Lepisosteus oculatus: one gene and its partner. Each later gene encodes a partner of the first gene's protein in a complex. Links are inferred from orthologs where the notes say so. Each region holds a gene or a part of one and is shown on either strand. Other genes may lie near its edges.

What was found. Proteins that work in one complex are often made in the same cells at the same time.
Region 2: the proteins of acadm (region 1) and etfb are in contact, whole or in part, in a crystal structure (PDB 2A1T), measured with the Homo sapiens proteins. The link is inferred for Lepisosteus oculatus from reciprocal best matches to the Homo sapiens genes ACADM and ETFB. Residues at the interface, in NP_000007.1 of Homo sapiens: Glu43, Gln44, Lys46, Glu47, Phe48, Thr51, Lys54, Phe55, Glu58, Glu59, Arg80, Glu83, Leu84, Gly85, Leu86, Leu98, Leu100, Ile108; in NP_001976.1 of Homo sapiens: Glu73, Arg76, Thr77, Tyr192, Ala193, Thr194, Leu195, Pro196, Ile198, Met199, Lys202.

Annotation. Positions count from the first base shown.
Region 1 is NC_090704.1:4,144,986-4,152,215, reverse strand, and holds the start of acadm (medium-chain specific acyl-CoA dehydrogenase, mitochondrial), read left to right. Parts: upstream 1-4,225; 5' UTR 4,226-4,305; coding exon 4,306-4,374; intron 4,375-4,705; coding exon 4,706-4,805; intron 4,806-4,985; coding exon 4,986-5,083; intron 5,084-5,818; coding exon 5,819-5,888; intron 5,889-6,071; coding exon 6,072-6,172; intron 6,173-6,354; coding exon 6,355-6,435; intron 6,436-7,230. UniProt on the Homo sapiens protein: Medium-chain specific acyl-CoA dehydrogenase is one of the acyl-CoA dehydrogenases that catalyze the first step of mitochondrial fatty acid beta-oxidation, an aerobic process breaking down fatty acids into acetyl-CoA and allowing the production of energy from fats.
Region 2 is NC_090722.1:8,296,372-8,303,946, reverse strand, and holds the start of etfb (electron transfer flavoprotein subunit beta), read left to right. Parts: upstream 1-4,563; 5' UTR 4,564-4,648; coding exon 4,649-4,702; intron 4,703-5,933; coding exon 5,934-6,092; intron 6,093-7,098; coding exon 7,099-7,257; intron 7,258-7,575. UniProt on the Homo sapiens protein: Heterodimeric electron transfer flavoprotein that accepts electrons from several mitochondrial dehydrogenases, including acyl-CoA dehydrogenases, glutaryl-CoA and sarcosine dehydrogenase.

The sequences.
Region 1 (7,230 bases):
GATTGTGGTGCACAGTTACAGTCACCACCTTACAAAAATAATTATCGTTGCTCTAGAATCTGTCAAGAGAAGAACAACCAGATACATTCCTTGGCACAAAAGAAGTGTCCTACACTGACGGGCTGAAGGAACTGAATTCCTGAAATGTCTTTCAGTTTTGAACCTGGTTGGGACTTGATTCTCGTATTCCAAACCCTCAAACACGCTGGCAAGGTCAACCGAGCAGACAATGAAACATGAGCATGAGGACACTGTGGAAACTGTGGGAGAGTGTGTTTAAAACCGAGAGAGGGGGGCACCTATTTTGTGCGAAGGGGTGTGGAGGTTTGGAACAAACTACCCAGACATGTTGTGTTGAAGCTGTTGCGCTGGTTTCTTTCATGACCTGTCTGGATGAAGTCAGTTAGGCCCTGAAAAACACATCTGAGCTAAACTGGCTGAATGGCCTGCCCTCTTAAACTTCTTAAACTGTATTAATTAATTCTTGTGGGTGGAAGGAGCGTTCCCAAACCATTTTTGCACAAATTGCAATGTTGTCTGAAGATATTCTTTCCTGGTAAATGTTCCTGCCCTAGTCTAGCCATTGCGGTAATTATTTTATAAAGAGCAGGTACCATTATTAAGACTTTTGATTATCATTCTCAGGAAGAGTGTTCTTGTTTTTGCTGTTGTCCTTTCGTACCATTGTGTACAAAGGGCATTTGGTGATACCACAGAACAAGCCAGCACTCTTCATTAGGAAAATGACAGAAATCCATGATAAGGATGCTGTGTTCTTCTCTCCAGAGAAATGCCCCTCAGAGAGCCTCTTTTCCAGCCCGGGCTGATCTGTAACTCAGCTTAATCTGCTGGCAGACAGGCAAGTGGCAGGACACAGAGCCTTGTGGGAGCAGCTGTCCTTGAGATGGAAATCCCAACGAAAGCCACTTGTAAATCCGAATGCCAGAGTCGCTGGATCTGCGCTCATTTAATAATTATCAACACAAGTTAAAATTCAATTTTCTGCTAAAACCAGTACAGTGTCCAGCTGTTAGATGATGTTCCTTAAAAACGAAAGATCGTCAGTGTACAGAAAAATAGAGAATTCTCTATGTTGCATCATGCGCCACTTTGGTAGAGGTCATGATAAATGAGCCATTCAAGAAAGATGTATGGCAAATCTTACTAGACAGCTACTTATTTTTGACGAGTGAGTTATCACTGAGTCATACCCTCACATCAGGATCCAAAACAGCAGGGGACTCGTTTTTATTTTGTAAATACCTTTTTTTTTTTACAAAATTGTTGTACCTTTATTTACCATGTTTAATATTGTTTCCAAATAATGACTTTTGTGGATCATATTTGCCATAGCTACTGAAGAAGATAAGAGAGCTGCCCGGGAAGTGAGATAATAATATAATTTCTTGTTTTTGTAGTTTTTTGCAAACTATGCAGTCTAGTGGCTTGATGTAGGCTTTGGGCTCAAATATATATAAAGATGCTGCCTGTCCTTGGTCAGTAAGATAAGGGGCATGTATTTGGTAAGCTGGCTGTACGCCCAGAATATGAAAAGAACTAACTGTTGTCTAGTCTGCAACTTAGATATAATTAATTGGCATGTGTTGCTGTCTTATCATTTGTTTAGAATGTGTCATAGTAACTCTTTTTGTTTTAAGGTTGCAAGCCGGACTTCCATATGCATATGAATAAAGAGACTTCTGCTTCAAAGACACCTGAACTTTGTCATTTGTTTGACACTACACTACGAACACAAAGCATGGAGACTGCTGAGAAATTGTATTACAAAAATGTAATTATGAGGGGTTGTAGTTCTTACTGTATATATACTGTAGTGCTGGGGAAAGAAAGGAGTTTGGATTAAATGTTTATTAAAACTTAGCAGTCTTTGTCACATCAGTATTGCTAGGCAAGATCTAGTATGCACCACAGTATATGTGAATGTTTATGCATATGCACATGTCGATGTGCTGACTGTTAAAGTCTTGGGTAATTATCTTAGTTTCTGTGTTTGCTAATTCTTTAGTCAAACCGGGCAAACTGGGTGAATGATGCCTATGAAAACCATGGAGCTGAGCATCGTAGCTTGTTTTTGTGATTGCACTTGGGGTGATTGTATAGATACAGAATATAAAAATATTTAAAAAGCCTCTATTTATTGCCCTAGATTTCAAGCAATTCAAATTAAGAAAGTAAAGATCTACACCTATCTATCCCTTAACGTGTATCCAATGATATCAAGTAATGTTGATATCATTGGATTTTATTAACAAGTGTTTCATAAAATCATGTGTACAGGTCATTTTGTGGTGCCTGATGTGGAAAACAAAGACTTTGGTAAAAGGTCCTTTAAAACTGAACTACGCAATGATCTGTCGAGAAAGTAACGCATTAGTTTATTGATCTAACAAAGAAAAGCTAGTCATAAACTACCCAACAACAGCTAAGCTGTAACAGCTAAAGAAAATAAAAACGCACCATGAGGACTGAAGTAGACACCCATTTACCTTTCTGAGCACTTACCGCAGTTAATAAAGAAAGGACACTCGAGTCTCAAAGTATTTCAAAATGTGTTCTAAACATTGAAAGAATTTTAATGAAAAGGGTGGCGCTGTTTGTCAAAATATTCAGATTAAGGGCTATGAAAAAGGCGTATTCAGCTGAAAGAAAAGCTAAACAGGGAAACTAATAGAAGAGTTTTAACTGCTGACCGACATCGATATATGCACATTTAGATAATTGGAAGACAGCAACAATTATTGAAGATAACACTGTGTGGTCAGAACGGTTCCTGTTGCTTATTCCAGGGACAGCACCATTGAATAGGGTGGACAGGACCAGTGACAGGGGCCGGACTGTAATAATGTACTGTAGCCCTCTTTTCTCGGACACTGCTGCGACTGAACCAGGAGTTTCTACTGTGTCTAGTGGGATTGGTGCGTATACGCGAAAAGGCACAGTACCGTACTACAATCTGTGACGAGCTGTTACCGGCGTATGTACTCAGACTATTTCTGTTGACTCACAAGTTTCAACACTGTTTAATTGTATTCAAATCACCTGGCTTTTTTTTTTTACCAGTACCTAGTCTCAGGACGTAAATAATACTATTATACTGTTTTTCATGCTCGACTCCTATAGTTCAACCCAAATATTTTCTTCAGCACGCGTGTACAACATGTATCCTTAATATTGCACTTCAGCGCTATTGTCTGTTTTTTAATAAGGACTTTCTAATAAGTGTTTGGGACGTAGAGAGAGGAATTACCGTATATAAAACATGCCTCGATTCATAAAACGTGAATACTTTGAAACTTCAGTTTCATAATTTAAAGGGGGGGGGGGTCGATGTTTTCAGTCAATTGCGTTACGCAATTTTCTTTTCTTTCTTTTTTTTTGTTTGCTCCAGGTGATAACAGTAAACATATTTAAAAACCGGGTGTTAATTTTGGACCTGGAGACTGAAACTAGGTAAAAGGTCGCCTAGGCGATTGGGAGTGGGCTCGTGACGGAGGGGGCGGCGGTGATTGGCTGGACGACAGTTCCTTTTGGGGGCAAAGGTTGTTCGAACGTTCAAGGTCCCGAGGAGCGCAGGCTGTCAAAATGATGCACTTAAATAAGGTAAAATATGCCTTAATTACTCGGATATGACCATTATATGCAGAGATGCGAATGCATTCGAAGATCCTCCGTGCTGCATGTTTCTAGGTTCTCTTTTTGTAAGACGATGCCTTTGCGTAGGATTTATATAACGAGGTAGTCATGAGCTGTTGCAGCTGTTGTTTTAGTGTATGTACGTACAAAGAGGAAATGTTAAGGACTACGCATTATGTGGCTTGCATTTATTGCCGGAATTCCAAATGTGTACGTTGTATTTTATTATTGCAGTACTTTGGAAGCGAACGGAGGCGTCCAGAATTGTGGGCTGTATGGCGGATGTGATGTAGGCATCTTGCCTGCAAAACTGAAATCTAAGCTGTTGAAAACAAGGTGTTGCGTGCAGGTTCTGTAACGAGCTGTAGCGGCGATGGTCGGTCTCTGTCGCCGAGGTTACTCGGTAGTTTCTGATCACCCTTGCCTGCGCTGGACGACACAAACGCCAGCAACGTTTTATCGCGGTTATATAACCCAACATAATCCAATCCCGAAGTCGTACAAAGAGGGATATAAAAAGGTTTAAACGTGGCGAAGCTGTAGTTCTATTTACAATGTCTCATTTTCAGCGTGGCAGTTAGCGCTGCTGCGCTCACGGCTTCAGGTCCGGGGCGTGGTTGAGGACCGAGGGATCTTCTGTGTGGAGTTTGCATGTTCTTCCCGGGATGGCATGGCTATTCACCAAGTGCTCCTGTTTCCTCCCACAGTCCAAACATAATTGTGAGGTGAACGGGGTCTCTCGATTGTCCCCACGCCTGTGTGTGGCTTACAAAGGACTGCCTTCACCTCTTGCTTGTCCTGTTGCCTGTTGAGTTAGGCTCTGGTGCTCTAATAGCATTATTACTGCAAGCAGACAGATGGGTAGATCTCATTCGACACTAGGGGCTCTTGTGCAGTTTTGTCGAATCGGGTCGGGAATAGATGAAGTGTTGCTGTATCTTTTAAGTTTTGGGGGGGGGGGGGGATCTTTCAGGGTTTTTATGCTAAAGAATTGCAGGGCGAGGAGTAACAGTTGTGCTGCTGTGTTTTTTTTTTTTCCCCCAATCTGTAGCTTCTAAAAGCCACCGCTCAAGCTGGAGTGAGATTCCAGGGCACTACAGCCAGAGCCGCCCCAAGTGCCCCCAGAGCTGCTGTTGGAGGGTTTAGTTTTGGTGAGTAGAGTGCCGTGCGCCGTGTTTTAAGCGATTCCACCTTTCCCCGTGGATAGCTGAAGGGATGGCTCATTTTGCAAAGATATTAAGCCGTTCAGCGCCGAGATCGGGCGTCTTCGTCCCCGTGTAGCGGAACGGCTGCGGTCTGTGCCAACACCACTCCGGTTCTACCCCCTGCAGACCTGACGGATCAGCAGAAGGAATTCAGGGAAACGGCGCGCAAGTTCGCGAGGGAGGAGATCATCCCTGCGGCGCCACACTATGACCGGACGGGCGAAGTAAGTGCCGCAACGCACCCTGGAGCCTGATCCCTCGGCCAGAGTACAGACCTCCAGTCGTTAACTCCCGTTGGTCGGGGTCTTGGTGCTGCCTTTTCTCTCTCATCCTGCCGTGCGGAACGGTTCGGCTGGCCTGATGAGGCTGTAGGTTAAATGTAATGATTATTACCACCACACATTATCTGATGTGTGGTGAGCGTTCTGGCGCACTATGGCTGCCGTCGCATCATCCAGGTGGGGCTGCACACTGGGGGTGGTGGAGGGGATCCCCATTACCTGTAAAGCGCTTTGAGTGGAGTGTCCAGAAAAGCGCTATATAAGTGTTAGCAATTATTATTATTATTATTATTATTATTATTATTATTAATGAGTGGGGAGCGCTCGGGCCTGGACTGAAAGCGGGCCTGTTTTCATAGCTGCCTGCGATTGTTTGCATTCTGACCTTGAATAACCCATAACGGCAATCTGTCATGTCCACTGGAAGGCTCTTGCAGCAGCCCCTGAAGAGGGTGATTCAAATGCCTCTTCTCATTATTAGAAGGACAGATAAGCTTTCCCCTGTCTTAATATTCAAGCAGCATCTCCAAAGAGCTCAGGCCTCATTTGCTAATGTGCAGATAACTGCACAGACAGGAGACTGAGCAGCTGAATTGTAACTAGGTTGCAGTTGTATTGGCTTGGAAATGGCACTATCAACTGTGGTTAATTTATGCTCTCTTTTCTATTGCCCTGTAGTATCCTGTTCCTCTTATTAAGAGAGCCTGGGAGCTGGGCCTGATGAACTCTCATATTCCAGAAGACTGTGGTATTTCTTATGTTCTTGTCTTGCCTTTTCCATTTTTCCAAAAGGAAACTGTTGTTTTCTTTGATCTATGTGATACACATGGTGCTGTTAATTCCCTTTCCTCACTTCTCAATTGCTGGAAACCTCACTCCAAGTATTTTTTCTCTTCTGTATTTTTGTAACGTACGTTCTTGTCGGATGCAGGTGGCATGGGCCTTGGTATTTTTGATTCCTGCCTCATCACGGAGGAGATCGCTTATGGCTGCACTGGTATTCAGACAGCCATCGAGGCAAATTCCCTGGGGGTAAGGAGACTTGTTCTGTGCGTTTTAAGTGAAATACCACTAGGTTGTCCACAGACTGAAACCGCACAGCAGCGTGTATCACTATACAGTATATAGATAGCTGCCAGTGTCTGTTTGTGTACCGTATGTGTATTTTTGCCATTAAACACAGTCCAAACAGTTGTTTTCTTCATTGTCTTTAGCAAATGCCAGTCATCATTGCAGGTAATGATCAGCAGAGGAAAAAATACTTGGGCCGAATGACAGAGGAGCCCCTGATGTGTGTAAGTATTCAAGAAAAGGCTTACACTGTACAGGATTCACTTGTAGAGCAGTGTGACAGAGTTAAATAGTATTTCAGTTGCTAATTGAGGCAATGTGAAAAATCACAGTAAAAGACAGTAAAAGGCATGCTGACAGTTGCAGCATGAGTATGTTCAACAAGCCTAGAGCCATGTGACATTTTTGACAGCGGGTTCGAGAGAAAGAGAGCTATGAAATGCTTCTTAGCCACCTGAGAGGTGACTGGTCCACTCTGATGACTTCTGTGTCTAAAAAAAATCTTGATAATGTTTCTCTTGAACTTGCATTTAATGTTCATTTACCTTGCATTTTTTAAATTTCACACTGTCGTTAACATAAGATTCACAGCTTCATTTTTGCACAATTCTTATCAATACAAATATATGGATTTGTATCAGATAATTTTGAGTTGAAGCGCCAAATATACATAGAGCACTGTATATCGAATGCAGCCTACGTTAGTGCTGTGATATTACAAGGTGAAACTCTTTCAGGTGACAACTGACATGCATAATATTGCATTAAGCATCTCCAATAAAGCAGGTGAGGGCTAAATAATTCCAGATTTGTTCCGTTTCCAAATTGTTTTCTACAACAAAAATCCAGTCAAAGACATCGAGGGAATAAAATTGTGTCCTTAGTGACCATTCATGCCTAGAATTTTCTAGTAACACACAACCACTTGCGTGTGATGGAAAATGACACGGAACAATTGTTTTATACCGCAGTATAATTGTGCAGAATTTAAAAGAGTAACGCCAGTACCATCGGATCAA
Region 2 (7,575 bases), on another chromosome or scaffold:
TTATTTTCTCTCTAAATGCCCCCTAATCTGTGTCCTCTATTTAGTTCTGCACTTTTCCCATGAAAGCACTTTATACCTGGCTAATGTCTTAGGTTTGAGGTAATGGGCAGATCTGACTTTGACTGTCAAAATCTAAGTGCTGTGCATGCCACGCACTAGAGTGTGTTTTTCTGGACTGGTGTTTTCAATGTTTATCTGCTGAACATTTTATTTGTAATGCAGCTATATTTCAGCTGCACATTGAACAGCACCAAATTTAAAAAACAAATTACTAAAGGACTCCTATTGCTCTGTGACTTTATTTTTTTTAAAGACATGCCTGTATGATCTACTTCTCTGTCCTGATATAGTTCTTGTTTTCTGTGTGCTTGTTTCTCACTGGCTCAGGGTTCTCTTTTTGTATCATGGTAACAGGAATCAAACCCTTATATTCCAGTTGAGCTGTAATGCGATTTGGAGGCACATCCAATATTTTTCATTTGTCTCTCTGTGAACTGGGTTCATATCCAAGACTGACAGAATATATAACCCTGCCTGCAACCCTTTAGGAAATAGCATGGATTTGTCCTGTACGATACAGACAGCATTGCTTCACACTGCAGAACTGGTGTGATCGAACATGAAAGTGCTATCATTAAAACAAGAGTGTCATTCATTGAACCTCAGAGAAGTTACAGTGCAGAAGAAGCCACATTTAGTTGCTAAACTATATAGTTTGTGGTTGCTGAAGCTTTTAGTAATCTATCTGGTCAGCTAAAAGTTCAGGTGGGTAGCTGCGTCAGCATGCGTTGGCTGCAAAGGGAACAAGTAACAGGTTTATTCCATGCTGAAAAATGAAGAAAGAAAACACAAAGTTTCGGCCGTGGAGCCCTCTTCAGGTGTGAGGGCCCGAGCTGGCATAAAATCTGAATCACACGATAATTCAGAAGCGAGGTGTTTTCATTTTCTCCCCAAGTCTCATCATATGTGGGTGATCAAATACTTCATCCCTTTGCTAAAATTGTTGATGCATTTGTAACGTTTAATTACCTGGCGGGCACTACACAGAAAACAATAACTGTGATGAACCTTCTGTTTTAGAATTGGCTTTCTTTTAATCGTTTTCCCACTGTACTGCATTGATTCTGTTAAAAAAAAAGACTTTCATCAAGCGATCACGTTGTCACTCAGCTGACAGCAGGATCCAATCCGGGTTTTCGCAAGAGCCACCTGACAGTCGAGAGTCTCGCCGGAAGAGGAGAAAGGAGAAGAAGCAGGAAGGACGAGTTAAAAACAGATCCTCTGCTCACACCGTTATGTACATGACTCGGTAGAAATTCTTTATATATGGAGGATTAAGCCTGTTAAAACCTACACACTCCATCCCAAGAGCAATAACTGTTATTCAGTATTCAATATTGTATTTGGTTCATCTTTTACCTAAAAACAAGCTATTTTTCTTTACTGCGGAAGCGCCGTGCTTCGGTTAGTAACACCCGGGACTAGATTTTTTTTTAAAAAATGTATCTGAGAGTTTACAGGTGTTTTTTTTTTTAACTCCATGCGGCGATAGTAAAAATATGTGAGCTGGTCTACACTAAAACATTCAAAAATTTTTGAGAAGAACTAATGTTGCATAACCGTTCAATTGTTCGTTTGTAAGTGCACTATGGGAAATGTAGTTTTGAACGAAGGTAAAATTCAATATAAAACAAGGTACGGTCAGATGCATTATTGTCTTTATATTCTTTGCAAATGATTTATGAAAGGGGAGGGCTAAAACTGTGAATACCTATATCAAATAGTTTTGTAAATTGTTATGTTGTATTTGCACAAAAGCAGTGCATTAAGAATAAACGACACAAGAATGTCACCACCCGTGTTGTTAATTTCCATATAGTACGGTAAAGCAATCCTATAATTAAGTGAAGATACTCGAGTTCATGGTAATAATGCCTGAATTTCCCGTAAGATGTAATATAACTTCCGCCTTGAACAAGAATAATTAAAATTCGTTTTTCGAGTATTTAGAGATTGTTGATGAGTGAATTCAGTTTCGGTTGAATTCTTTATGTTTTAAAAAATGCAAACTCTTTAATCTATTAAAATGTTATTTTTTTGTATTTTTATTTACCTGCCAGGATAATGTATCTCTACAAAAAAAAATCAACATTTGTGCTTACTATTTTGGAGTGAATTAAAATATGTTTATTAGCGTTTGATAATCCACAGTTCTCTTATTTATGATATTTTTACATCATCCACCACACAAAGCTTATAAATTTTCCTGAAAAGGTAAAATTCTTTGAATTGTTGGTCATTGAGTTATAGTTACATATTGTTTTGGTTGAGTACTGCTTGTATACGGTATGATATAAGGTGTGATCTGGACTTTAATCCAAAACCCAACAGCTGTGAAGCAGGACTACTAACCATCACATTACCTACAGTATGTTACCAGGGTGAAAAAAAATGTTATAATGTTTCCTTGTGGTTTTAAAGCACACCAAATGCACATGGAAAACCATAGCAAAGCTATTTAAATGCATAATGTAAACAGTAAAATGCAAAATGGACACAAGTTGATTTTCATAACCGATTCATTTGACAAACAATAAAAAAAGAGAATTAAATGATTATTCTGAATTGGGTATGATGTAAATCCCCTGAGACATTATGTATAGGTAACATACATTTATGACCAACTGCTTTAGAAGGGTTAGCTGTAAAAGCACTTGTCTTCACCCAGCATAGCACAGATATCATTGCAGTGGAGGTCAGGGTAGCCGGAGGCCCATTTCACAAAGCAGCCCAGGTTGAGAGAATGAATGTTCCGAGGGACTTCTTGATGTTTGGGCCGGACAGACTGGGGTCTTCTGACAGTCGGGTCAAAGTTCTTTTTCGGGGCCGGATGCTGGGGGTGGAACTCTTTGGCGAAGTACGAAGGAGGCTGAATGCTGCGATTCCTTTCCTTGAAGAACGCCTCTGGGATTGTGTTTCCCCAGATTCCCAGCAGAGACTTCTCAAAGGCCGTTAAGGGCCCCCATAGCTGGTATATTTTCATCCTACAACGTTACAAGAATACTGTATGTAAGAATTAATGGACATAAAACCTAAACTTTCAAGTTTACCATTACGCTGTTCTTGAAACCATTATCAATTACTTATATTAAGAATTCAGCTATCTCACTTTAGAAAAGACGAGCCATAAAGTGCTGGATTTCAATGGACTGCTATATGTAGAATTGTAGTTACTAAACTACTATTTTTAAAATATAATCTTTGTTAATCTTAATTACAGCATGATAATTCATTAATGATAGTTATTGAATGTTCTTACCTTCTGCAGCTTCTTTAAGGACTTTAAGGATCTTTTTATTTTCTTAGAGGTGCGTCTAGATTTTAAAAACTGCAAGAACTTTCCATTTATTTTAGAAAGTGTTTTTCTTGTTGCTATGCTTTCTAACTGTACTTTGTGATGTCACACCTCAATGATGATGTCACGTAGTTTATTTTAAAATTTGTTTATAAATAATCAAGTCATGGTGTATATTTTTAATGTTTCTGAACATCACATTATGATCTGGAATTTAGAGTCCCAATTTTAAATAGTATCTACCTAACAAGAAATTATAAGTGCAGACATAAATCTTATAAAATATATTTTAAAGAAGCCAGAGAACCAACATCAGCATTTATGTTCCAACCACAATTATGTTCCAACGACCATCAACCTTTACAGGAATTCTGTTTTCATTACTACAACACGCAGTGTCAAGCAATTCGCATTTATGCTCTCTTGTTCTTGGTTCACTACAGAAACAAATATGAAGTTACCTATTGGTTAGTACTTTTAAATAAAAGAACTATTAGCTCGGTGATTAGTTTAACAGCTGAGGTAGCAAACAGTATTAATTTTCAGATATTGTTCGATTAAAAAAAGTTCCATGAATTCAGTTTGTCTAATGCAGTAGGATGGATTTGATATGCTTGTTAAGAAGTAAGTATGTCACTCATCAGTTTATTGTCTTATTACAAAAATAAGAAGATCACTTAGCCATATACAATTTCTTGTATTAGGAATTTGTCTTTTCACATACCCCATCTTGCTCTCCATGAGACACACAGACAGGGAGAGAAGCTGGTGTTCAGAACACCAGGTCAGACATTTATACAGCTCAAGGGTCTGACAGAGTGGGATTTCTCTGCCAGCTGTGGGATATGAACCAGCAACCTTCCAGCCACAGGCACAGATCCTTAGCCACGGTACACTAAACAGAATTCACCTTTGTGACCATTTTTATTTCCTCAAATTGCTGCAACAGAACATGCAGAAAATATCCCGCTAGATACCGTCCATCCTGGCACAGCACACTGTTGAAACAGTCTGTGAACCTTTGCCCCAGTTTCTTGCAATCGCCACATAGGAACTCAACTGATCTGTTTTTAGTTTCTGCACCGCAGTAAACGGACCTGCGCTTTCTCCATATTCGTCACGCTTTCCCATTGGCTATAAATCGAAAGTCTGCTTTATAATTGGTTTACCGGGGGGTAGTTCCTAAGCCCTCCCCACTCCCCTCCTTTTCTTTCCCGGTGTCCCCGTGAAATCCGTCCGTCTCCCTTCTCCTGTCCGAAGAAGAGTGCAGGAGTTGTTTTTGTCAGGTTCAAAATGTCATCTCGGGTTTTGGTTGGTGTCAAGCGGGTTATTGACTACGCAGTCAAGGTACAATTATATTCAGTTCTCTCCGACTACGGAGAGATTTTTTTTTTTGTTTTCGATTGGTCTTCAGTTAGCCTGCAGGAGTTTCGTTAAAGGGACAAGGTCAGATTGCTTGCAAGTTGTAATCAGATCTCACACGAATGTGACATGAAAATCGATTATCAGTTGAGTTCAGTTTTCAAACGCTATACTGTATATTGCACGTTGCAGACGGTTAATGGAAGTTTTCAGGGCAATGAGTTAAGTAACTCAGACACAGAACAGAATATATACTGTATATAATATACAGTATACTATATCCCTTAAATCCAAAGAAGGCTTCACAGCCGAAACTCTCTTTTCAGCACGGAATAAACCTATTACTTGTTCCTTTGCAGCCTACGCATGCTGACTCAGCTACCCACCTGAACTACTTCAGAATATATACTGTATGGTTATGCTGGTGAAGGTTTGCAATTTTAAGCCTCTTCAGTAGTCCGTGTTAACTACTTTTTTGTCATTTCTGATTAGAAGTAGGTAAGGAACACCTTAGTCTAAATGAGACTATTTTAGTGCACAGTCGTTAACTATGCAAAGCAAATGCATTGCCAATTCTGAAATTATCATCCTATATTTAGCCTAGTATTGCTCTGAACAAGCAATCCAAAATTCATCTCGTGGTTAATAAATCAATTCTACAATGCGCTGTGTTGCTGCTTTTGCTGAGAAGGTCCGCCTTAAGACAATTATCATTCATGTCTCCACTTACACGTGTGCATTTTAAGAATAAAAATGAAATAACCCGTATTTACTAAAACATTGAGATTGATCGTTTCAATAATAATATTAATAATATTTTAATTAAAAACCGTGATGATTAAATTGAAGACTGTTGCATTTGATGAAGTACGAATATCAGCAAAGCCTGCAAAGAAAATGTGCAAAGTAAAATTTACCACTTGCATAGGTATAATATATTTTATTTCTTTAGTTATTACCTTTATTCTCCTTTCCTCTTTGCCCCTTTCATCTTTTTCTTCCCACTTTCCTTCTTTTTTCTGTTTACTATCTTAGACGTTTCTTACCTTATGTTTACTTGAGATTTGTTTCCTTATTTATTTTATAGCCCATACTCAGACTCGGAAGTGATACTGAAAAAAAGAATGTTGCTTTTTTTTAATCCCAGAAGACTGGTGTTCCAGGCTCTTTGCTTGACTCTGACCTCTGACCTTTCACCGGCGGTTTGGTTTTGCAGATCCGGGTGAAGCCGGACCGGACAGGGGTTGTCACGGATGGGGTGAAGCACTCCATGAACCCGTTCTGTGAAATCGCTGTGGAGGAGGCGGTGAGGCTGAAGGAGAAGAAGCTGGTGAACGAGGTCATAGCCGTGAGCTGTGGGCCCCAGCAGGTTCAGGTATGCCACCACTTCATGACCTTTGACCCCCTCATCCATGTCCTGTCTTCTTATTGTGGGACCAGGCGGGGGTCAGGGTGAGTCCAGCAAAGTTGTAACCAACCAGATGTTTGCCAGACTTTTTTTTTAAGGGGAGCGACTTTTGAGATCTTGATTGTGTGTGAGAGAGTCGTGTTTAGCCTCTTTTATAAGAAAAAAACATTTAAAACTGAGAACAGGAGAGGTATGTCTTTACACAAAGGCCTGTGGGAGTTTGTAACAAGCTACCCAGCTATGTTCTTGAATCTGATGTCCTGGTTCTCTTGTGAGCTGTGGCTTGTAATTCAGCATCTTTCTGAGAGACCTTTGCGAAGAGAATTTGAGGAAAAATGGAGGAAGTTCCTCTTATTTCATCGTTGTAAATCCTGGGATTAAGGCATCAGCAAAATAAAATGATAGTGATAATTATTTTTCTTCTAGGATCAGGTGGTTACATACCAAACAAACTGGAATAGCAATGGGGCCACCACTAGAAGCCGCCAAAAACAGCCTCTCAGGACTGGGCTTTGTTAATGCATCTGTATTTTCACATGTTGAATTGTTTAACTTTTACAAAGTTTAAGATAGAGTTAGTTATCAGCATCTTTATTTTATATAAGGGTTGCGGGTTTGTTCACTGCTTGTCCGTTGATCTGGTATCAGCTGGCGTGTAGAGCTGCATGTCAAGGTAAAAACGTGATTAACATCATGATGAGTGCTTGAAGATGGGGAAATAGTGTAGGTTTACCAACCTGCAGGCAGAGCAGTATAAATGGTAAAATAGAAGTGATGTCTTTGTCATAAATCTCTGTTGATCTACTAAACCAGGCTCCCTCAGAACTGAAGGTACCATTAGGGTGGAGGGGGGTTAATGTAAAATGGTCTTCTGAGCCACTCTAGCTCAGGTGTGGACTGTACACACAGGATATGCCATGGAACTGAGAACAAGACAGAGGTTCCTTCTGTGAAAGTTCCTTGTCCTCCCCAGGAAACCATCCGCACAGCGCTGGCAATGGGCGCTGACAGAGGGATCCATGTGGAGGTTTCTGGGAAGGATTATGACAACCTGGGGCCTCTGCAGGTCTCTAAGATTCTGGCAGCTCTAGCGAAGAAAGAAAACGCTTCTCTAGTAGTACTTGGCAAGCAGGTAAGATCAGTTATACAAAATAATTACTGCAACGTACACTTATGTGGCATCTGTCAGCACACAGCGAGAAAGGCTCCAGGTTACTGACCAGAGGATTGTGGGTTTAAGTCCCCACCTTGGATTGGATTACACCAGTGTGCAAGGGCCCATTTTCTGTGAAATGGGTTCCATTATTGCTAGGAATACCCAGAAATGGACTAGTGTCTTATCCTTGGAGTACTCATTCATTTTGAGTCCAACATTAAAGAGAAGAGGATAAGCTCAATCCTGGTGAACCACTTAACTCAAGAATGGGCTTCTTGTGTGTCTTTTATCAGC